2 linked regions of the Coturnix japonica genome follow. The main gene of each other region encodes a partner of the protein of the gene in region 2 in a complex. Links are inferred from orthologs where the notes say so. Each region holds a gene or a part of one and is shown on either strand. Other genes may lie near its edges.

Region 1 (12,056 bases), on a different chromosome or scaffold from region 2:
GAAAATTAGACTGTTAAAATGTTAGGTAGATTGAACCTACATTTTAAACTGGTTCTTATGTGTTTGATTCCATTTTTTAACAAATTGGTTACTTAATTCTACCAAGATACAAAACATAAGGCTGTAAGTAACTAATAGTTGTGTTTAGGCTATTACAGTGCAGGTAATCCTCAAGGCCACATACACACTGCTTCACTGCTGCTTGCATTCTGCTGGGTTTTGATCCTTCTGTTGAGGGAAAAAAATAAAGAAATATCAGCTTACAGATATCAATACTTCAGGAAGTACTCAGATTATTAATATATTTTGTCAACTTCCAACAGTCAGGTTTTTCTTTCTTCTCCTCAACTGAGCTAACTGCCCAGTATTACTAATACCTTTACATGTGGTAACATTCACAATGCTTTTTTCTTTCTTAGCATATATGCATTGAGAGAGAAGTCTGTTCAGAATCAAGTAAAATGGTACACTCTGAATGACACCAAAACTAGACAAAGGAGAAGGGCAATAATAATCAGTATCAATCACTGGCACAGAGGCAACCACACCTTCTAAACAGTTTGATACAAAATAAAACCTCCTTAATAATCCCCTCCTCCCAGGAGGGGAGTAAACTCTTCGAAAGGGCTGATAATAGCAGGACTAGGGGAAATGGTTTTAAGTTAAAAGAGGGAAGATTTAGGTTGGATGTTAGGGGAAAGTTCTTTACTAGAAGAGTGGTTAGGTCCTGGAACAGGCTGCCCAGGGAGGTTGTGGATGCCCCGTCCTTGGAGGTGTTCAAGGCCAGGTTGGACGGGGCCCTGAGCAACCTGATCTAGTAAAGGTGTATGTTTGGTGGCCCTGCTAGGCAGGGGGGTTGGAACTACATGATCCTTGAGGTCCCTTCCAACCCGGGTAATTCTGTGATTCTGTGAAAACCACACAGCCTTCATTTTGATTGACAAGGGCTCAGCCTTACTTCAGAACCAGTGTACAGCAGTGCAATGAAACAAGTCAAGGTATGTTCTTAACACTCTGGAAAGATTTGTTTTGAAATAAATTCTAGTTGCTAGAAAATTTCCAAGTAGATATTACCAACTGCTCTGTATTGAAGCAGGCAATCAACAATACCTCACAGTAACATGGGAATTTATGGAAAAGGCCTTTGAGGGTGAAAACTGCAAGTTTTGTTCCACTATTCTCAGACTGCAGTGCTTTCATAAGTTTATCTAGTTTCTAGTCTGTAATTAACTTATGATTATCAATTCTTTTCAAAGCACTGTAGTACCGCTATTGTCTGCCTCTCTGAAACTGAGCATATGATCTTGCCCTCAGTCATTTAACTTGCAAAAACAACTGAAGTGGTGGAAATCATAAACCCAATTTGCAGCTGTTTCATTTTGATTCCAGAACTTTCTTGAACAACTGGAATACCATACTGCAGAGGAAACACCCCCAAGAAGTCATACGTTGTTATTAGCAGTTCCATAGCCCACATCTTTTCCAGGACAACACTAGAATTATGGTACTACTTCTTTTAGATCAAAATGTTGCTACTGAAAAATATACTGCCTCCAGATTAAAAATGGGAAAGATACTTTGCAGCACACTTTCAACTTCGACAGCTTCACTTTCTGACTATGGCTTAATCTTACTTAAGGATGTATTTCCCTCAGCTAATAGAAAGCTAAGGACTTAGTTGCTCACAATCACTTCTCCAGCGAACTGAGCTTAACTACTCATTTGCTCTGACCATTAAACATGAAACAAAGCTGCACGTTGCTCTTAGTTGCCCACATTCAAGTTCTTGGCTGTAGATGCATTCCTGAGGCTTGACATCTGCTGCCTCAAGAAATAACACTCCAACAAAGTACAAGAACCAAACTGTGGCAAGTTCCCCAAACCTGAGTATTTATTACTTGTACTCTTCTGATTACTACTATAGAACGCTTATACCACTGAACTAAACCAGAAACTTGCTTTAAGACAAGTTGATAAAAAAAAAAAAACAATCTGGAACTAAAACAGTTTCAGCCAAAAAACACTTACTGTAAGAGCTACTAAATACTTCAACTAAAACTTGATGTTTCGCCTTCATTAAATATCAGGAATATGAACGCATGTGCACATTGAAATATTCTTTTAATTTCTTACTTTTGGGTCATAATCAGGATCATTTTCTTCATCTGCTTCTTCTTCCCCCTCCTGAAAGACAACAGTTGTTTATATTTCACTAACTTATCCACAATCAGCTTCCCAAACCATCCTCAAGAACACTGAAAGTTCCACTCCAAAATACTTTCACTGTCACTTCAATTAATGCATACTGTGGGCCATCTACAAAGCACATCTTTTGACATCAGTTTCAATTTGATTTGTAGTATTACTTCTGTTATATTGTTTGCAATTAAATATTCACTCCAGATCACAGAATACAACAAGCTGTTGCATCTCACATTCATATGTACAACTTAAACTTAGCTTTTACAGCATTTATAAACTAGAGGAACTTACTCCATGCAGACTACAGGAGGGAAGCTATTTAAATCAAGACAATCTGTCAACTTACCTCGTCATCTGCCTCTTCACCTTCTTCATCATACTAGGAAAGAAATAAATAGTTTTGACTGTCATAAACATAGTCATTACAGGCATTAGTTCATTCAAGATAACTGAAGTTGATGCCAGGAGCCATACACATGGTACTATGCTTTAAGAGAACATCCTATATTTGACAGATTAGAAATAGCTCTATGAATCAGCATGAAAAACATTCAATCTCAAACTATGCTCTGGCAGAGAGCACTTCCTGCCTTGCATTCCTTATGTGCAACACTGGAAGAGATTATTTAAATGGTAATATATCTGTCCAACAAAGTGTCTTGAAGTATAAAGCAGTCCATACAGTCACTTCTGTCTTCTACCCATCGACTGCCACAGTTCTGGACTAAAGGTTACTATTCCACATTCTAAACTGGACTTAGCTTAGCTAAATCAACTCAATAGATTTGCTACATTTGTCAAGCAATCCTAACTTGTGAGGAGACAGAGGAAAAAAAGTACTTTATAGTTCTTGGGTTTTGCAGTTTGTTTTTCAGCTTTAGCATCTTTAATGTATTGAATTCAAGCTTCTGAAGAACATGTTTTGAAAAGAAGTTTGCAAGCTTAGAATGAATTTATCTCCCATTTTCTAAAGAGAGCTCTCCTGAAATGATCAAACCTGAACTTCAAGAACTCAGTAGCCATGCAAGTATAATGAACAGGCTGACCAGCTACATATGTGGACTAATTTGTTTTCTGGCAGCTCATTTTTCTATCAAAGCATTGTGCACATCACTCTGGGAATGACTTGTACACACACTTTTATTCAGACATCACTCTAAGTGGTCACCAATCAGTGCTTTTGCCACAGAACTCTGAATTCAGTACTTGGAAGGTTAAATAAGGAGCAGCATGAAGGTAATTAATATCCTAGGAAATCCACCATAAACTGATGCTGATACCTCCAACTCTAAGGATACTAACAGTAACTATAGGAGTCAGAAGTTAACAAAAAACTTTAAGCAACTTTCTATAGAGGCTTTTAACACTCCAAAAGAACATTACTTACATCATCATCATCATCTTCAATAGCTTCTCCTGTGAAGTACAATACTGATCGGGGGACTATACGTTCACGTAAGAAATGACCTATTTCAAAGTCTGCAGCAAGGATTGCCTCAGCATCATCGTCCTGCATAAAACAATTTTATGTTCTAAACCATAAGTTGGTAACTACATTTGACACCAAAACACAAGTTGCACAAATATTGACATTGCCAGATTTACACAAATCCCCATCAGTTTTTGGTTCAGGACAATTATAGAATTGAGATTATGAGATCAAGTTTTATACTTCAAGCATTTCCGCACATTATAGAGTTCAGGGTTTGCTGCTTCAGCAAACTTAGCCATACAAAGCTTTGGAGTTTAAATTTCCTTCTTCCTCTACATAGTCACTTAAAACTATTTTTCTTCTTAAACATAGTATTATCCCTAGATTTTCACTTTGCATGCACAGCATTGAGAACTAAATACTAACCAGGTGAAGCTTTCTAAGTAAGCATCTTCACAATTCTTATTAATCAACCCAATGTAAAGCTCTTGCACACCTGAAAAATGCTCTAAGTCACAAAACACTATTAAAGTGAAATGAACTTTGCCATCCTTCTACCAAAGAAAAACTATTCATCACAAATACTCCCAAGTTAAAACTGAAACAATTTAAATTCCCAAACAAATCCCAGAAAGCACATTGTACACAACTGCCTTTCACTGGCAATTCCCTCACCCCCAAACTCTTAACTTCCAATAAGACAACTTACCAGTTCTCCACTTTCAGGAACTGTGAAGGAAAAAAAAGAAGAAAACAAGTGAATGAATTATATACAACATTTAATGTTAATGCAAATACACAAAGATTTTGTTTACCTTCAGGGGGAGTAAAGAAGTTGAAGAAGGAATCATTGGAAACAGTTTTTGTCACTGTTCTAACTGTTCCACGACCCTTGTGCTTCTGCTTCTTTTTAATTGTTTTCAAAGTAACATTCTTTCCTTTTTTCCAGTCTATTTGGCAGCTGGGGAAGAACGAAAAGAAGTTGTAGCTTAGAATATCTGCTATCGCTACCAGTATTTAGAGAGGCTATCCCAGTTTTAAGAAATATACTGAACATGAAATATCAAGGTTATTTGCTGTTTGCAGAGGAAAAAAAAAAAAAAAAAGAATCTTAACCACAGACTTGACTGACACTCACAAAGTATTCTGGGGTAAATGTAAACGAAGTCACAAAAATAAGGCTGAAGAAGTTTCTTGACTAGATCCTTTATAGATTCAAAGGAAAGAGGTGAGATGTTTAAGGGTAAAAAGCTGCTGTCTTAACACTCCCAGTCATTGCTTTGCATAAACCATGTTCATAAAGGCAGAGTCATCTCACAGGGATCTCTGCCAGGAGACATGCTTTTCAGTAACAGTCCAAATTATGGGAGACAATACAGTTTGATCTATTGTACTCAAGCAGACTAATTCCTACAGGACTTTTGTAGCAATGTATTACATTATGTGACTGGGAAATGAAAGAGCAAGCATCAGTCAGTATCAGTAAGTGCACAGTAGTGCATGGGTAAAACCAGCTAAGGAATTATAGCTAATTTAGAACAGAAGAGACCACCAAATGTGACAACTTCAAAATCACGAGAAAACTAGAATTAGATATAACTGTTCTCTACTTCTCAAATAGATTAACTGAAAGATGCTCAGAGAGGCAAACATTCAACTATTATAAACTGGACAACAGCAATACAGAACATAAAAACGGACTTGCCTTCTCAAATAACTGAATGTCAGAAATATAAAAGGCTTCCAAAATGTGATCAAATAAGGTTTTTAAAAAGCTATCAAGGCCCACTAAATACTACCCAGCTTCAGTTGCTGCAGAACACAACTTACAAAGTGTATTAAATTTGACTGTATGCATATATAGATACTATCTATGTACTTATAAATTGCATCAATGTTTAGATCACACAGTATATAGTTCTTATATGTATATATTACATGACAACAAACTGAAAGTAACACTAGGTGGATACATGAGGAAGAGAGTCCTCAATGTTTCAAACTAATATGAAGTTATAACAGTTTTCAAAACAGTTAAGTTTTAACCTCAAACTTGAGCCTAGCTATTTCCAAGTCACTAGGTAACTAAAAGCTTACACTTGGATAATACGGAAGAAACAGTTATATTATCTTATGGCTATTCAGCAGCACTTACCCTGTACAGCCCATGATTTCCGGTCCATCAAAGGAAAAGGGATCAGAATCATCTGGCTCTGATCTCATTCTATATGTCTTTGTCAACACTTCATTTGTGAAGTAGTCATTTGGTTCAAAGTGAAATTCTAATGCAAAGCTCTTAAGAAAGAATTGCAAAGAGACAACATAAGCAGTCTAGCAAAACATACCTTTAATTTCTAAATACTTGAAGATCAAAATCAAAAACAAACATGCAAATGAACATATCCATCTCTACCAACACTGAAGTGGTGCATGCACAACTTATCCAAGAATTTGCTGCCTAAATTGAACAGTCAGTATTCAGATGTTTACTTTTACTATGCTGACCTTGTGTCATTGATTCAAGCAGTATATTAAGAAATGAGCACAAGACTTCACATTATGTACAGATTTCCTGGTGCTACGTTATAGAGATAAAACAAATATATCTTTGTAAGTTACTTGGTCTCTAGAAATGAAATGATATTCTTTTATAGTAGCTATACAAAAAGTGCCTCAAACTGTCAAAATATAAAGATAAAACCAAGTAATCAAATACTATGGTCAAGTTATTAACTCAATAGAATCTGAAAGTTAAATTAAGTGTAATTCATTCATACAGTACTTCAGGATTAGTCTTTGTACTGCTCTTCAGGGGACAAGAAACTAGCCATGCGTTTCTCAGGATTGCCTTAAGACAACTGCTTATTACAGATGGTGTTATCAATATACAAATACAAGCCTTCAGATAACACAGAAAAACTTGTTTAAAAGGTTAAACTAACCATAGGCTGTCCAACATCTGAAAACTTCACTTTTATATCTTTTAAGTGTTTCAGGATAGGTTCATCGTGTTCCTGTAAATAGAAAAGTTAATGAAATTTTCATAAGGTTAAATTGTACACAGATTTAAGACACAGAGATAAAAAGGTGTATTTAGAAGAACCAGTGAATCTCATCAAGAACCTTGTCCAAGCACTGAAACACTTTCTTCCACGAATACAACCAGCAGATGGCAATAACAGCAGCTCAATTTTCACTGTGGTTCACAGCTTAAATCTCATGCAAACTAAATACAAATTTCAGTGCTAGTACATATTTCATGCAAACATTTCTATATATATATCTTACTAATGGACTTTCTGTGTAAAGTTACAACTTCAACAAGTAAGAACAAAATAAGATATTTCAGTGTGCTCTGTGCTCTGAGTAGAATAAGTGACCAGATAACATCCAAGTGCCAGCTTAATTTTTACTCTCTAAAAGACATCGAGTACTATAACCATTCCTTCTCTTTCCTGGTAGAGCACATTTGGATTAAATACTAAAGCAACATCAAAGCAATCTGGACTACTACCTACCTGAACCATATCACTGAGCAAGTCCACATTCTTAAATACCGTCAGCCAAAATTCAGGAATTCCTTTAGGGTCTTCTTTTTCTTCATCTTTTTTTTCTTCTTCAATCTTGGCTTTCTCTTTCATTTCCTCCTTGATAGAATAAAAATGTTAGTTTCTCTAAGCTTTAAAAACCATCCTCCATCAAGTTTAACCATCTTCAGCTGATTATAGTGCACATGAAGTTTCATGCATGTGATTTAAGGATGCAATTAATAATACACAGCCAATCATTAAGAAAATTCTCCTTCTGAGAAAAATGTATTTACTCTATTGAATCTAATTTCATGCTAAAGGTGGGAATATTGATAAGAATTGATTATGATACTCACTGAAATCTCTTCTTCAGTATCTGCTTTCCATTCACATTCTTCCTCTGTAGGTTCATAGATTGCATTGATGATCTCGCTTCGCTGAAAAATTGAACCAAGGATACTTTCATATGTTCTAGTTATTGCAATTAGCCGTACTCTAACCAATAAATTGCTGATTCTGCTATCACAAAGTACTGTCTACTTAACCAAACAATTTCTTGCTCTAGAAAGATTCAGCAGTTACCAGTGTTTCAATACACTGAAGAACCAACATGCAAGAACGGTTACCACATAACCTAACATCTGCTCAGTTAATACGATGAGGCCTAATATACTAAGGTGACTTTGTTAGCCATGGAATAGACAACACTTCATCTTAGCTGATAGTCACATGGACAGCAAAATAGTGTAAATTCAGCTGAATGGGCACATTAGAGACCAAGGTAATTCAGAACACATAAATAAGCTTCAGTTTATATTCCCTTTTGGTTTAACTAAAGCTTTTAAATACAAATAAGAAAAGCATTAAAATACCTTGTCAAATAAGGGCTGATAGAGAGCAGCGTATTTTCTTTCCAGCTCATGAACTTCCTCATAGAACTTTGCTTCTATCTGTGCACACTGAACTTGAAGATTCTTGAGAGCATTCACACGTCTTTTAACAACTTTAGGCAAGCTGAAAAATACAGTGACAGAACTGTTACGAACATTGCATTCTATGCACATGTTGACCTCTCATTAACCAGCTCCTTTCACCAACACATATCAAAATGGATTTCACACTGCTTTAAACACTAGAAAACTGCAAAAAAAGTCAAAGTTACGACCCACTGTACCATGTGGAATAAACTTAACACAGACTCTTAAAACAGGTATAACCTGACTTAGAATAAAAAAAAAAGTCAAGTCTCTGAATACGCAAACTTGTGTAAAGCTTCACACTGACAGCAAGTTTTACCTTACCACCAAGCAGCATGGCAAATTGCTAACATGGAGCACAATCAAGGATGAGCTAACTACTTGTTTGTTTTTATGAACATTCAAGACAATTGAGTTATTACTTCACTAAGGAAGTCAAGCTTCACAACCATTATTTTTGTTTATTCAGGAATGAAGCTATCACTGCTGTCCCTTAACAGTCTCCCAGAATAAGCCAAAACCATATTATATACATATTACAGGCAAACAATTAGTGCAGCCTTCATTATAAGCTGTTGTGAAACTTTGATTAAAGTTGTATCTGACTTGTAGAAGACCACACTAACAAAGTTAGAGCTGGGGCAGAAATTAACCTGCACTGTTAGTGAAATTCATAGGGTAGACTGGTGACAGCCTCTATCACTGATGATGTGAGCCAGTCCCCAGCATATAGCTACAGCAGATTACCATGTTAACCTTCTTTATTTAAGGAACTGGGTCACATCATTAAGAGCACAATGGCAAACAGCTGCAAAAAAGTGAAAAACTGTTAGGACCAGCTTCAGGTTAGTGGAAGCAACCAAGAAGGTATTAACTAAATACTGCAAGTTCGTATTAATTACTAATGCCACCAGCCCCCACTTAAGTAGGATATTTGATAAGACATGTAAGAGGTCCCTGTAAAGCATGCTTAAATCAGCATGTATATGTTAAGGAATCACAGAGGAAAGTTACACATTTTCCAGCTATTATTTCTATTGTAAGTTTGGCAAGCACTTGATATTAATGGTAAAGCTGCAATGCTTTGCAAGAAAAAGAACTATAGACTTAGAATAGATGAAGAAATGATGCAGTATCTCCAAGAGCAGCTGACAGGGGAAAATGCCAAGTAAACAGAAGTAGGACTTCTGTTCACTTCTTACAGCTAGGACTTGAAAGATTAGGAGAGATGAATTAATAACTGTCAAAAAATCAACATATTAGATATAGAAAGCCTTAGTGTACAGCATATAGAACAGTGTAGAGAACCTATGTACTCCTTTGACTCCATGCTCTTCCTGGGCCTGTAGTTATTAGGGTAGGCTATTAGTTGCCTGTATTTTCTTCTATGCTACTGCCTGTAATACAGGAAAGTGGTAGGAGTAGCAGCAGCAAATCCAGTCATTCAGTAGCCATCTCAGATAACATCAATAGCAACACAGGATCCTATCACAGTCAGATAGTTCTGTGCTTTACAACTTGTGCATATGGTCAGAAGTTCACACAATTAGAAATTACACAAAGGAGATAGATAAATCTGTTATAGCAGATGCAGTAAAGAAAACTTTAGTAAGCAACAGATTGTTTCAAATTGTATAAGGAGACTACATTAAGTATTGATACAACATTCCCAATTTGTGGTTACAGTATGACCACAAGTGACCACGTACTTGCCCATGTTTCAAATTAAAGCAAAGCTGAGAAAACATTCTGGGAAAATATCTGTGCCTATGTGTTATGGTTTGAAGAGTTAACCACGTGACACCTCTCCCTCCCCTTGGGCAAAATGCAGAGGGAGGAAGAGGGGAAAAAAAATCTGATTGAGATAAGAGAAACAAATTTATTAAAAGGAGCATGAGATAATACAGAATAACTAAGAGCAGTAAATCAAACAAAAAAATAAAACTAGAGGAGAGAGAGAATCAGAGTCCTTATCAGCAGAACCTCACGGCTGTCCTCCTAGAAAAGACAAGAGAGTTCTTCCTCATCACCAAGAGTTGGAAATCATGTGGAGGCCCTTGGGAAAATGCAGTACATCTCAGTATCTTCCCCTTGGAGTGTAAAAACTCACATGAGACTGCTATAGTGAACCAGGAAATACAGCTCCGCAATGCAGTGCTGAATCTGCGCCCAGCAGCTTGCCGCATGATGTCATGATAAGGAACATACTGATAAAAGCAGGACAGAATGACATTTTGCAATTGCACGTGACATTATCTGCCACTAAATATTTCTGCATTTTTTACTTCAAAAAGGCTCAAACAGAAAGCCTTCAGTTTTGAAATGCGTCAATTCCTGATTATATTACTTTCCTGCTACCTAGGCAGAGCAGTGGTTTATGATTAATCTTAAAGACAATATTGTTCAGGAAGCAAAAGCACATTTATATCACTCTCCTCATACTGAATTAGAACAAACATTTTACCTCTCTATATATCCTGTAGATGTTCCTACCAGACCATCAAGTCTTTCCTGAAGAGCTGCAAGAATCTGAGGATTTTGCATCATCTGCACAGTCAACTGTCGAGCTAAAATTAAAATGAAAATTCTGTAAGTGCAGAGCATATCTTCTAGACAAGGCTTGAAAGAGATCTAAATACTAAGAAAAAATATGAAGTGAATTTCCTGTTATTCTAAGAAGAAACACAGGCAGAATTTTTTTTTTAAAGTGTCTCCATTTCAGATGTGCTGATCACACAGAATCACAGAGGTTGGAAAAGATCTCCAAGATCATCCAGTCCAACCATCCACCTACCACCAATACCCTCCCACTAAACCATGCCCCCTTACTACAAACAATACAAACAAAAGTTGCAATTTTCATTCCATTTTAGATAAACAAGACTGCTTCAGACCTGGGTACTGAACTGGTTTACAAGTCTATGCTTATATACTTTTGTCTTGAAAAATAATAATTGCTCATTAGAGCTACTTCCCCCCCACCCACCACCACCAAAACGAACAGCAAAGCAATCCAGTCAGCTCAGCCTGACATATTCTTGATTACAGAACATCAGTGCTAAATTCTTGATCTCTATTATCTACATATTCCAAATGTAATTTGCCCAAAACAGTAAATTTGTTTCAAATCATGTGGTAGAAATACATTTTGGAAAACACAAATTGCTAGCCTAAGTATTTCCATTGCCCAAATTAACATCAACCTTTGCATTTCAGCTCAAAGTCCACACCTCAGTAGCCTGCAGAAAGCAACTTAAATTCATCTTTAATTAGAATTCATAATCATTTATAATCATGTTTTGCTTCTACCTTCATCCTCAACATTTTCAGATACACAAACAAAAAAAGGGTAGTTAGGTACTGGAATAGGCTCCCCAGGGAGGTGGTTGAATTGCCATCCCTGGTTGTGTTTAAGAGCCGTTTGGATGTGGTACTCAGGGATATGATTTAGTGGAGGGCTTTTAGAGTTAGGGTACTGGATAGGCTGCGGTTGGACTTGATGATCTTCAAGGTCTTTTCCAGCCTGGATAATTCTATCGTTCTATGACTCTAAGTTACATTTTTTTGGCATTTGATTCTCTATTTCTAAGCCCTTTGCTAGAGTAACCACATGAATATTATTCTATGCATACAAAAAAAATTACTAGAAAACTAGCAAAATAACTGCTTGATAACATCATTTTGCAAGTCATTTAAGTTCCCTAACACTGAAACATGCTTCTTACTTACAAAACCCAACTTCTCTCCAAGACTCATATAGTGTAATTACTCCCCTCAGATCCTCACATACAATTGCTGGGATTAATTACTAAAAATACACATTACTCATCTCTAGATTCCTTTGGGACACTTGAGTACTTACCATTTAATTAGTGAAAGCTTTTCTTTAGCCACCCTGTGTTATTCAAAGTTTTG
Region 2 (12,800 bases):
AAAAAAGCTTCCTCCAATTAAAGGTTTTATGTACGCGTTACAGTGACCACATCAATTAACGATACTTGTGATGCTTACTTCCTATAAATTATTAACCTTGCTCTAAGATGCCGACCAAAACAAGGAACGTGAGAGCTGAGGGCACAACACTCCTGTGAAACACACAGCGATCGAAATGGAAAGTGTTAAGTTTTCATCTAACACTGGGATCAAAGCAGCCCCAGGTGAGGAGCTTTAATGCCATCCAACCAGGTCCTTGAGCTGACCAGTGCAGTAGAGACAGCTCTGCCATGGAATAGAACAACCCCCACCAGCACACAGAACTCAACAGAGGAAGAAGCTTTCAGCCCCATGTAAGAGTGGCAAAGGCCAGCACAGCCCCATGTGCCTGGGGGACAGGCAGTGACTGAATCTTACTGTCCAACTTGCACAGTGAGAACATACAGAACCAGCAGGGGATAAAAGCATCAGCTGCTGTGCTCAACAGAAACTTCAGGATTCTTTATTTTGTAAATCCAGGAATCCAGGTATCAGGTTCTGGTATTTCCTGCACGGCGTCACTTTTACTGCTGGGTAATCCTGCAAGGTGTTCTCTTCTCTTATGTTTCAGGAACATGCAGTCTGTCTGTGCACAGTCTGGGAAGCAGCCCGGAACGTCCTGTGAGGTTTGTTGCAGTTCAGAAAGCTTCCATGGTCAGAATAACACGGGGTTTATGTTCATCGCTCCCACGCTGCATTAAATACACCTCGAGGAGGAAACATCCTATACCACCACACCTCATTAGGAAGAGCTTCCCAAGCTCTGGAACACCACAATGCAGCTCAGCCTGCTCTGACAGGAAAGCAAATGAATCATCCACATCTGCAGACTTCAACAACAACAACATTAAACCCAGAAGTTTTCCAAGGAGGACAGATTCCCCCCCTCCCTCCAGCCCTGCTTTTCTGCTTCCATCTCCTCTCTGTGGACCATTCACTAAGAGGAGATGGTACTTCTGCATGGGAATTTCCACAGCTCAGCCCTGCAGGCATCCTGGGGCACGAGGATAGAAAGGCTTTGGACAGAAGCTGCTTGACTTAAGGACAGAACAATCATTTTGAAGAGCTGCTTCATTTACAGCCAGTTACACAACCGTGTAGTAATTCTAAATTTAGAAAACGTGGCTATTTTGCCTCAATTCTAATAGTGTTTCAAGGAACTTGGACTCGAATGCTGAACAGAAGCACGAATATTTCTTGCAATAGCCATGAGAACTCTTCACTTGGATGGGATGTGCATCCTACCTTCCAGGGAAAAACAACTTCCATCTTCCACAGCGGTCCGAAGAGCAAAGCCAAGGGATGACTGCAGCGTTGGGCCCTGCTGGAAATCTGATCAGAGCAAAACTATTGGGCAGTGCTTCCTGTGCACTTCTGAAAAGCCAGATATTGGGGGAGCAGCCAGAAAGGCAGCACAGTCAGTGCAGCAGTGAGCAGAACTCCCCTCTGAGCAGCAGGGAAGGCAGGGGATGGTTTAGTGCAGCTGTGGAGTGAAGCTGGGTAAGGAAAGTATAAAGGTGCCTCTGATCTGTGCTGCTCAGGTTCTATGCCTGCACCAGCACAGCTGCAGTCAACAGTTTCACTGTGGATCCAGCACTTTCTGGCTGCATTGCTTCCCTGCAAAATCCTTACAGCATTTATACCTAAATTAACTCCAAAGCCACTAGGTTACCCACCACTTCACACATCTGAGGAAACAAATCAAGCCTGAGTCCCTCAATAGAAAGGTATATAAAATGCCAACCAGTTTCCAAGCGTTCCATTTTCCACATTCGGAATAAGCCATGCATTACAGTTTGGAGTGAGAATTATTTGTCTCAATAGACACAGTCTGTAATTACACCGAGGAACGTCAAAGGTTTTCCCACCACCCATACAGCTCTGCTCAGAAAAGGCCAAATGGAGAAGGCACGACCACAGCACCAGCAAAGCAAGGTCAGGGCCCAGCAGCACTGATGATGTAGGTGTTACCTGGAGTCACCTGTGGGGAAGGTTTGTCACCTTGCCAAGGCACTGCCACATCAACACCAGGAAACACTTGGAAGATTAAAAACGCTACTTCCTAAGTATCCTTATCAGCAGAGGAGCAGGGCTGTTTCTTGAAACAAAAGTGATTCGTATGCAAAATTCTTTTATTCCTGCTGTTGTATCCTTTCCAAAATAAGTAAAGAAACCTAAATCGGCTGTGATGGAACTAATTCCAGCTCTATCATCAGTGTACTTCACATTAAGCAGAATGCTCAGCCACAGACAGGAGACAGGAGTGATGTGCATGCAAGTCCCATCTTTGGGCTCCAAACTGCTGTTAGAAGCCTTCAGCTCCCATCCCCTCCGGTTCAGCAGCACTCTCCCTCCAGCAGCTGAACGCATCACTGTGTTGGAGCTGTGCTGAGTGCAGCACCACATGGCACACCACTGCAATTTTATGCTACAAAATGAAGGCTGCCTAACAGTGAGGGCAGAGCTGCCCAGCTCTTCCTCAGCCCAGCAATAGGCTTTGAAAGGATGCTGCTGTAAATGCAAACGGAGCTGTGAATTCAATTGCTCCTTGTCTGGAAGCTTCAAAACACAGCACCCACCTTTCCTGACCTGCACATCTCTGCCCTCACCTCCCATAGCAGCAACAGTGCTGCCCATCCGCTCACCAGGAGCTCCAGCATCAGCTGCTGAGGAATAGGAAAAGAGCTTTGCAACTCCCAAAAAGAAAAGAAATCACAGTGTATAAAGATACAGATGGCTCATTTTTAAGACCTTACCCACTGATCCCAGCACACATGCCATGCAGTCAGGGGGAGCAGGGCTGCAGCTGTTCACCTCTTTTCTCTCCATAAAGTGGAGTCAAAGCCTACACCACAAAGGGCAGAGAACCAACGTAGCACCACCTATCTTTTCCCTGTACAAGCATATATCCAAGGCAATTTGATACCAGAGTCCAGATGCATCAACAAGGAGCATATCCTAGCTTCCACCTACACCAGCATACATGGAAGATTCCTGCCTGGTTTCCAGTTTCCACCTGGGCCCTCCTCTGCCTGCTCAGCCCTCAGCCCTCCCACTGGGCTCCCTTTACCTTTCCCATACAGGAGGTAAGCACTGAGACACCTTCTATCAAGAGCTGCTTTCATTCCGTCAAGCCCAATGACCTCACCGTTAAGGGAAAATGGAAAGTGCATGGAAAAAAGCCCCAGTGCCACCACAAAGCCTCCCTGCAGGCTTTTTTTTGTTCCAGGACACACTTAGCATCCTCCTACCAAGCAAGTGGAGAAGCTTCAGCTCAGAGCACTGGTTTGATGCTGATGGTGGGAGGTAAGGAGTGCACAAACAACGAGGCAGGTTCCTCCCAGGGAGCATTCAGGAAGGTGTTAACGCCTTCTGAGCCCCTGAAATCCCACAAGCAATTAAAACAGTCACAAGAGATGAAGTTCTGAGCTTCACAAATGCCAGTTATCTTCCAGCACCAACGCAGATGCTGAGCAGTAAAAATAGTGTCTTTGCTCTGAGGAGGGAGCTGAGGACAGCTGGCATAAGCAAGACCTTGTCCCAAAAACCACCCTGCAAGCTTGTGCCACTTAACTTCAACACAGGACTTTAGCCAAAACAAAAGCAACTTCACAGAGTCACTTACAGCCAGGTCCCTGCAGAAGCCTCTGCTGGAGCTGCACAGCAAAGATGAAAGAAAACTTCATGACAAAGTCACAGCAAAACACCTCACTCACTCTCATGTAGGTATCTCAAGGCCTGGCACAGGATCCAACCAATTCCTCCTGAAGGTTTTAGTGCACCTCAGGTTGTGTGCTAGTCCTAAGAGCATCACTAATTGAGCTGTCTCTTTCCCTTTCCCAACTAACCCAGCACACCTGTGAGCCACAGAACTGGCTGCTCAAGGGGAGGCTTTGTCCATTTTAACAGTAACACTCCTGGCTGGGGTGCAGGAGCACTAATTAATTGCTGAGCCCAGGTGGCCGCTTGTGCTCCCAAATTATCAGCTCAGCACGCACACAAAATAACTCTCCATACAGTAACAACGCATACTTATGTTGTGCAGGAGTCCATTCTGCAGTAAAATATTAATGATGATCCCCAAGTCGATCTGGCAAGCATCAAATAAAGCAAAAAAAAACAACTTGTGGGTACGTGACCTTGTAGTGAGCACTCACAGGCAGGACTGTCTGACGTGGCTCCTGTTTGATGCAGTTCCAGTAAGCCCTTTCTTCCCTCCCATCTCTAATGGCTACGGATGTCAGGTGGTTTCAGAGCACCCCTGGGAGACTGACTGAAACATCAGATGCAAGAAGAGGGTTGGATACAGCTTCGCAAGGGATACAAACCAGTGCTATTGGTTTATGCGTGTGGAATCTGAGTGCTGCACTGAGCAGCATTTACTGCTGGCTCTGCAGAAGGAGCTGCACCCACACACAGCAGAACTGCCCTTGGTCACCTGCTGGACCTTGAGTGTTGTGCATCACCATGCGTGGACACCTTGCCCAGGTTTAGAGGTTTTTAAGGCTCTCTATGCTCTCTGCAGTTGCAAGGTGGTCATCAGTGAGGTCTGCTGTCTGGAGTGCTCACACTGGGCTGGTGGTGGCTGCAAAGGGACAGAGAGGTGAAAGCACAGACCTTCAGTGAATGGGAACATCTTCTCCCATGGGATAGAAAGAAAACGACTCCTAAGTTTAGGTCAAAGTAGTGATTGCATGACAGGATTCAGACAAGTATTCATGCAAATATTGAATTTACGTGGGAATAACAGCTTCAGAAAGTTCTCCTGCAACCTGATATTCATATCTCAATGTTTGAGGTCAAGAAATCACAGCAGTGGAGGCTGAGAAGGAACAGAAGGGCTGTGTGGGATGAAGCAGAGTTGAATTCAGACTAGAGGAGATAGCATCAGAACAATTCCAGCTAGTGAGCTGATCAGCCATGGGATTTGTGCCTGGGGAGCCCCAGACAGTTTGAACTGGGCAGAAAAATGATGCTGAACAGACTGAGAGCCATCCAAACCAAGTGGTTCCGAAGCTAAATACTCCCCAGAGACCCCATGGGGTCTCTACAGGCTGCCATGTAAACCAGAAGGTGCTGCTGGGACACAGCATCACACCTGGGTGCTGCCGCAAGCAGTTCCATCCCGAGGCAGAGCACAGGGCAGGAATTCAGCAGCCTGCCCTGCTGAAGGCCTTCTGATAAGGTGCTGAGACACAACACCTGCACTTTCTGCTTCCCCCATCTGCACAAGAGGCGTATCTGCCTTGCACAGGCTTTGGGAAATTGAAAGGCAGAGAAGAGCAGTGAAGCTTCCAGGTGAGAGGAAGAGGGAGGAAGGTAGCCCTGTTTTAAAGCTCCCTACAAGACTCACTACTACCTAACTTGGTCAAGCACTTCTGCAAAGAACCCAAAGGCAGCTCAGTGTGTGGAAGGAATATAACCCACACCTGAGGAACCCCGATGTTAAAATTCAGCTGGGTCCAAACCTCTGCTCATTTATTAGAGAAAGCATCAGGTGCCCCCAGCACTTAGCAGTGTAACTTCTAAGCAACACATCCATCCAGCACCATGAAGACAAGCTCTAGCAGCCAGAACTGCTCTGCAGGTTCTCTGTGTGACAGGACCGGGGTCAGACAGGACATGGCTGGCACACCTCTCTGGAAAGGGAAGTGTTTCCTTCCAGGGCTGTCTGGGTTTTACATTACTTGGCAACAATGATTTCCCTATGCTCTGAATTGGGAAAGCAGCCGAGGAAGGCAGGAAAGGAGGATAGAGAGGAGAAATCCTGGCTCCTTTTTACTCACGTGAATGTCACGATGCTGCTAATGACCATCAGAACCAAAGACTTGGAAAATCTCCTTGTTCAGGTGGAAGAGCCAGTGGGCCAAACATCAGCTCAAACTCAAGAGAAAGCTTCTATTACTTATTAACATCAGGAATGGCGTGGTGGGGCTTAAGCAGCAGCCTGCCTTCCACTTCCAACAGGAGAGAACAAAAGCATTCAGCTTCTAGAGGCAACAGTAACCACTATCAGCTCACATATTCCCTAGTAGAAAGAAATCATTCCTGCCCCCAGTAGCTGAAAGAAAACACAGAAAAGCTCTCAGATCATAACCCAGTTTTGGGTACACAGAGCAGCTTTTAGGATGGCAACAAGTGCCCTCTGCAACCCATGGTCTGGCTGCACCAGGCCAGGTTATCATTCCTGAAGACATCAAATAAACTCACAGACAAAGGTACTTGAAAGTCAGAGCTGCAGCCAGATGTACCTGCAGACACAGCTGAGAACAGCAGCCACAAGCCAGCAAACCTCAGACCCAAGACAACCACATGGTGCCCATGGTTTGCTCCCCTCAGCCCAGGTAGAGACATCAGGCTCACCTGGTGCCATAACACAAAGGGGCCGGGTCAGCAGACAGCCAAAGGACTTCACTTACCACCACGAAAATGGCAAAGCCCTGTGTGTTCCCAGCAGCGTCAGGTTTGTTTTTAGTAATCCCACACTGCAGAGCAGCTTGTACACAACGCCTGGCAATTTGGTTGTTGGGCAGCTTTTCAAATGGAAAAATCAATACAGTAAGTACACCTGAATTCTTCAAAGCACTTAAGAAACTTCTCCCTGGGGTCTATTACCTGAGTGCAGAGATGCCTATATCACAAAGACCACAAAAAGGAAGAGCCTTTATTTATGTAACTGCCTTCTGATCCCCCCCACCCCATCCCAGGCCTCCCTAATGCTGCACAGGGGCACAGCTATCCAGCCACCAAAGAACGAGCACTTAGGGATTCAATCCATGTTAGCTCCCCCATCCTGGGGTGGCCTTGGATGTCAGAAAACACAGCCCACATTGGGCCAATCTGTGCTGCTACAGCACACACAATTTGTATCTAGAAGCCGCAGCGATCGAATCATGATTTCTTTAGGGAAAGAAAAGGTTTTTTTTATTTAGGTAGAAACACACAACACAGCAATATCTCTCCCTGATGCCCGTTTTCATTTTGCTTATCTCCAACCGGTCACGTGTTTAATGACACTATCACCTAAATATAGCTCATCCTGCTCACCATCCTACCCATCCCCATAGACCACCGCACACCTCCTTGCTTGGCATGTTGAGCTGCTGGGAGAAGTCAAAGCAGAGAGGGCCCAGCAGCCCCTGTGTGTGCCTCCTGTGTGTGCCTCCCTCCTGCCTCGCTCAGCACAACGCCCGTGGCTGGCAGCCCCTTTGTGCTCCATCACAGTGCCCTTCTCTTTTGTCTCTGCGCCGTCGGGCTGTGCACAGCTCAGTGCTGGGTAGCAGGGATGCCCCAGAGACATAGAATAGACTCAGTAAGGTGAAGCAAGATCACTCAAATCATCCATTCCAGCCGCCTACCTGCACACTGCGTCCCTAAGCATGACATCTACTCATTCCTTAAGCACCTCCAGGGATGGTGACTCCCCTGCAGCCCATTCCATTGCCTCATGGCTCGTTCTGAATAGAAACCCTTCCTAACACCCAGCCCTGCAGAATGGAGCCGGAGGGGCTCATTCACACAGCTGGAAGACATAGGTGTACACACAGCTCCAGCCAGCACTGGCGTAAACAAGGGCAGAGCCACTGCTGCACTGCCAGCTCCCTATATATATGCAGGGATGCTGCATGGTGAGACAAGCATCCCTCCACACGCATCCCAGGCCTCTCACACAGCCCCAATGGCTCCACACAGGGATACAAGGCCCAGCCCAGCATCTCCATGCACTCAGGGCCCACCCTACATCCCGCAGCCCCCCAACCCAAGCCGGGCTCGACCCCCACGGCCTCACCTTGGTCTCCTTGACGTGCTGTTTGATTCCCTCCGGGTACCACTGCACCCTCACGTATCCCCGTCGCAGCGGGCTGGCTCTGCCCTCCTCGGTGCCTCCAGCCCCGGGGCCGCCCGATTCCGACCCCCCCGAGCTGGCAGCTCCCCCTGTTCCCCTTCCACTTCCCCCCGGTGCCGTCGTCGTTTCTTCATCCTCTGAATCGGAATCTTCGCCGTGAATGAGGCGAACCAGGCCGAACCTCACCGAGCCGCGATAACGACCCGACACCAAGTCGTGTGAGAACAGAAGGCGCTGAGAACCGCCCTGAGGAGCCGAAGGGGGTAAAGGCAAAGCGGGGAGCGGGGTCGGGGCGGAGGGAACCGGAGCCGCCTCAGCGGGGAGCTCCGCCATGGCGCCGGGACGAGCGGGAGAGCGCGGCCGGCACCGGAGGGGGAGGGGAGGGGCACGTAGTGCGTCAGGGGGCGGGGCTTAAAGGGACACGCCCAGTGCGTGGCGACGCTGGCGGGGAGGGCCACGCCCATCCAGTGGGAGGGGCAGAGAGGAGGGAGGAGGGCTGTCGGGTGGGGGTGTGTTCTGTGCTCCGGGATATCCCGGCTTTTCCCTTTGTGAGATGGGCTCTCTCTCTGCCCGAGGCTCATAGGAGAGGAGAAGTGAAGCGATGTGTCCTCACATCTCCACGGACTGGTTTCCAAGCGCTGTTATGGCAGCCGTGCTGCCCATCATCCCCCCATTGCACGTAGCTAATGACACACAGATATGCTCAACAAGCACCAACTGCAGTGTATCTAGCACTATCCACATTCAGAACCATCCCACGCTCTGCTCCGGACCCACCGAACCCTTCAGAGCCATTTACCTGTACAGGCTGGGCCTTGAGAGCAGCTCGGCAGAGAAGGACCTGGGGGTCCTGATGGACCAGAGACTCAACATGAGCCAGCAGTGCGCTCTGACAGCATGGAAAGCAAATGGGATCCTGGGCTCCATCAGGAGAGGGGTGGTCAGCAGGGATAGGGAGGTGATTGTCCCTCTCTACTCGGCTCTTGCGAGGCCCCATCTGTTGTACCGTGTCCAGGTGTGGAGCCCTCAGTACAAGAAAGACATGGAGATTTTGGAAAGGGTCCAGAGGAGGGACAGGAAGATGATCAGGGGCTGGAGCACCTCCCCTATGAGGACAGGCTGAGGGAGTTGGGTTTGTTCAGCCTGGAGAAGAGAAGGTTGCGGGGTGACCTCATTGCAGCCTTTCAATACCTGAAGGGAACTTACTCTTCCCTTAAACTCTTGGAAAGGGCTGACAATAGCAGGACACGGGGAAATGGTTTGAAGTTAAAAGAGGGAAGATTTAGGTTGGATGTTAGGGGGAAGTTCTTCACTAGGAGAGTGGTGAGGCCCTGGAACAGGCTGCCCAGGGAGGTTGTGGATGCCCCGTCCTTGGAGGTGTTCAAGGCCAGGTTGGACGGGGCCCTGGGCAACCTGATCTAGTAAAGGTGTATGTTTGGTGGCCCTGCCAGGCAGGGGGTTGGAACTACATGATCCTTAAGGTCCCTTCCAACCCGGGTCACTCTGTGCTTCTGTGACCCGGTTTCTTTTGGTCCCGGTTCCGGAGCGTGTAGCGCTGCTGCCATCGCGCGGGCGCTGCCCGGTGCTGCACAGTGTGTGTGTATGGGCGGCAGGGAGGGGGAATGCACGGATCCCTATAGCGGAGTCAGAGCAAGGTGTAAAACAGGAGTGGCAGCATTGTCTTCAAAAGATAAGGCTGCAGATACCCCGAACTGGGACAGCACAGACCGTGTCCCCCCTGCAAAGCCCGTCCAGGAGCGCTGCTCTGCAGATGCTGAGTGCTGCTGCACGGCGATATTGGCCCTCCTCAGCTGTAGGAGCAAACAGAGATTGAGCCCTGCTCTCCCTGTCAGCTCACCCCAAGCACGCAGCAATCAGCTCAATCAGCTTTATCCCCCCGCAGGGAGTCATGCCAGGGTAAAGAAATCAGCCTCAGCTGCTTGACGGGATCCTTTGCCTGCTCGTCATCTTAAAGCCTCTCACCTCTCCTGTCTTTCATCACGGTTATAAACCCCTTAGATCTTCATCACGTGCTCCATAAATAACAAATATATAAGCCGGGCTCTGTGTGTTCCTGCAGCCCCATCCCTGCTGTCCCACGGCCACGAGGAGTCACAGGATCAGGGTGAAGAGGAGCAGCACCACGTCCCCATCCCCATCCCACAGCCGGTAAGCCCAGAGTTTCTGGGACCTGGTGATCCCCGTGGCTTTGGGGATGGCTGGTGAGCTGTGGGTCACTGTGTTGTTCTGGGCTATGGGGAATAGCCCTTAGATGGGAGGGAGCTGGGACACTGAGCTTGACTTGCCTTGGATTCTGGAGGTGAGAGCATCTCTGCATGCAGGTGCTTTGGGTTCTATAATGCACAAACACAAAAGGAGGGGACAATTTGACAGGGTGTAGTTGGTGTGCTAATTTGTGCACCATGACATATGGGGATGTGGAAAGGAGCCACAGGCTTAATAGACCCCAGGGTATAAACAACTATAAGAACGTGCAGGGGGCTGTGTTAGAGCTGGGGAGATGGGTTGATAGAGCTGGGAGGAGAGGGGTTTCCTCCTAACTCTGGTTATCCTCACTGTGCTCCCATTGACCTGCAGCCATCTCAGTGTGCATGTTCCCTGCATGCCAAAGACCTTTGTGTGTGCAGGGAGCTGAGGAGCTGAGCAAAAAAGAAACACAACTCCAGCAGCCCGTGTGACCTGAGCTGCCACAAGTGCTGGAGGGGAAAAGATTCAATGAGAAGGATCTGGGAGCAGGCTGTACCCTGCTCACTTCTCACACTGTTGTGTTGGGGTGCTGAGAAGTTTCTATAAGCACAAGGGGTGTCTGAGCCAGCCCAGCCTGCTGCATAGCCCTGATGCAATCAGGGGATGAGCAGATCTGACACCGAGCTGTGAATCCTACAAACATCACAGCACCCCATTCCTGCAGTGCTGTCTTGTTTCACTCCCATCCTATCTATGGGAGCACAAAGCACTCATTCCCAGCACCAGTCTTGCACTTACCCCTTGGCAATGAGAACTGGCACGAGGGATGCTAAATATTTCCCCTGTCCCTGATAGCCTTTGTGCCCAGAGAGCACATCACAGCTAACCCAGTGATTCACTGAAAGGGAATCACAGCAACACCCCATCTCACCACTTCCATCACCCAGCTCTCAGCCTTTCCAGATGGAAAATTCCCAGCTTGCTTTGGCTCTGCCCTGTGCAACGCTTGTGCTGGTAATGCTTTTGTTTCTATAAATCCTATTAGCTGGAGGCAAGCCTATAATTAGCAAGGAAAGCCGGCACCTCTTGAACAATAATCAGAACTGACCTGGCTCCATGCTGGCTTTGCTGTGAATTGCTTTGAATATTGGCTGACCCGTGGCTCCCGCTTGGCTGGGAGCTGCTGCCACTATTCCTGCCCGCAGGCCAGGGGTGCTCGGGTTGCACTTCTCTCTGGGTTTATTAACTTGGTTTGATCGGGCATGAAACATGAGGTGGATTTATGACACAGAATCTGACCCAAGCAGAGGGATCTGGCTGAGCTGTGTAGGGCGGGTGGTGATGGATGGGACAGAGCAGCAGGGACTGTCCTGGGGTATGGCTGTGGGACCCATAAAGGCTCTTTGGTCAAGGCTGGGGCTCTGCTTTTCCCTGCAAGGGAACACTGGAAAACTGCTCTCCTGAGCAAGCTTCTACACAAGCATTTGCAGGGTCCAATCTAACATCTATTCAGCAAAGGCACCCTGACAGCACACCCCTGGACCTCCCAGCCTTTGGGGTGGTTGTGACCACAGGCACTGGAGCAGCTGCAGATGAGCTCATCCTGCCTGCTGGCTCATCTCAGCCAGGCTTTCCAGCATGGCTATGACTTAAGTGCCCACCAGGGGCTAAGCCGTGTCATTTACCCCCTGAACAAGCTGGGAAAGCAAACAAACCCCCAGCAGCACAAGCATGACACAGAATCACAGGACACCCTGAGATGGAAGGGATGGATCATTAAGTGGAAGCCCAGACCCCACACAGCACCACCCAAACCCTACAGCTGAGAGCAGTGTCCCAACACTCCCTGAGCTCTGGTGGCTCAATGCCGTGCCTGCTGCCCTGAGGATCTGCTCCATGACCAGCACCCACTGATACAGAACCTTTCCTTAATCCCCAACCTGATCCCCTGACGCAGCTCCAGGCTGGTCATCTCCGGTGCATACACAGCACTGATGTCACCTTTATGACCTGGATAGGGACAAGATGCTCAGCCCCAACTCTTTCCCAATGGGACTGGAGGTCAGCAGCAGTGCACAGCTCGTGCCAACTCCCAGGGGTGACAGCAGGGTTGCCGTGGGTGGGGATTTGCTGTATCTATACACACACGTGTATATATAGCTAAAGGATGCCAGGTAGCCTAATCCCATGCATAATCAACAGGTATTTTCGACAGCTAAGAGCTCAGGAAGAGATTGGCTGAAATTAAGCCGAAATTAAGGGTGCAGTGACACTGCTGGGGCCCGGAGCTGACAGAGCTGCCCCATACGGAGCAGAACAAGATGCCGATGCTCAGCGCGGTGCCGTTCCTGAAGCCCACCCCCCCGCAGGGACCCCGCAGTTCCCCCGGCCGCCAACGCCGGCACACACTGCCCGCCAGCGAGTTCCGCTGCCTCAGCCCCGAGGATGCCGTCAGCGTGTTTGAGATCGAGAGGGAAGGTAAGGAAAGAGCCGCCCCGTCCCCATCCCACCCCAGCCCGGTGTCAGAGCCGGGAGCTCAGCGCCGTTCCCTTTCCAGCCTTCATCTCTGTCTCCGGCGACTGCCCGCTGCACCTGGATGAGATCCGGCACTTCCTGACGCTGTGCCCGGAGCTCTCTCTCGGCTGGTTCGAGGAAGGTCGCCTGGTGGCTTTTATCATCGGCTCCCTATGGGACCAGGACAGGCTCA

Evidence for each region.
Region 1: the proteins of UBE2O (region 2) and NAP1L1 are in contact, whole or in part, in a cryo-EM structure (PDB 7UN6), measured with the Homo sapiens proteins. The link is inferred for Coturnix japonica from reciprocal best matches to the Homo sapiens genes UBE2O and NAP1L1. Residues at the interface, in NP_071349.3 of Homo sapiens: Ser225, Asn226, Val282, Lys283, Pro284, Val285, Lys289, Ser290, Lys291, Phe292, Arg293; in NP_001317160.1 of Homo sapiens: Arg333, Arg337, Thr343, Gly344, Glu345, Ala346, Ile347, Asp349.

The regions. Positions count from the first base shown.
Region 1 is NC_029516.1:34,426,608-34,438,663, forward strand, and holds part of NAP1L1 (nucleosome assembly protein 1-like 1), read right to left. Parts: intron 10,709-12,056; coding exon 10,606-10,708; intron 8,179-10,605; coding exon 8,037-8,178; intron 7,602-8,036; coding exon 7,521-7,601; intron 7,282-7,520; coding exon 7,153-7,281; intron 6,649-7,152; coding exon 6,577-6,648; intron 5,930-6,576; coding exon 5,790-5,929; intron 4,596-5,789; coding exon 4,450-4,595; intron 4,364-4,449; coding exon 4,344-4,363; intron 3,713-4,343; coding exon 3,590-3,712; intron 2,582-3,589; coding exon 2,549-2,581; intron 2,185-2,548; coding exon 2,134-2,184; intron 229-2,133; coding exon 193-228; 3' UTR 1-192. UniProt on the Homo sapiens protein: Histone chaperone that plays a role in the nuclear import of H2A-H2B and nucleosome assembly.
Region 2 is NC_029533.1:3,800,437-3,813,236, reverse strand, and holds the start of UBE2O ((E3-independent) E2 ubiquitin-conjugating enzyme), read right to left. Parts: upstream 8,282-12,800; 5' UTR 8,219-8,281; coding exon 7,829-8,218; intron 1-7,828. Other genes in the region: AANAT (serotonin N-acetyltransferase), read left to right, coding at 12,415-12,571, 12,651-12,800. UniProt on the Homo sapiens protein: E2/E3 hybrid ubiquitin-protein ligase that displays both E2 and E3 ligase activities and mediates monoubiquitination of target proteins. Negatively regulates TRAF6-mediated NF-kappa-B activation independently of its E2 activity.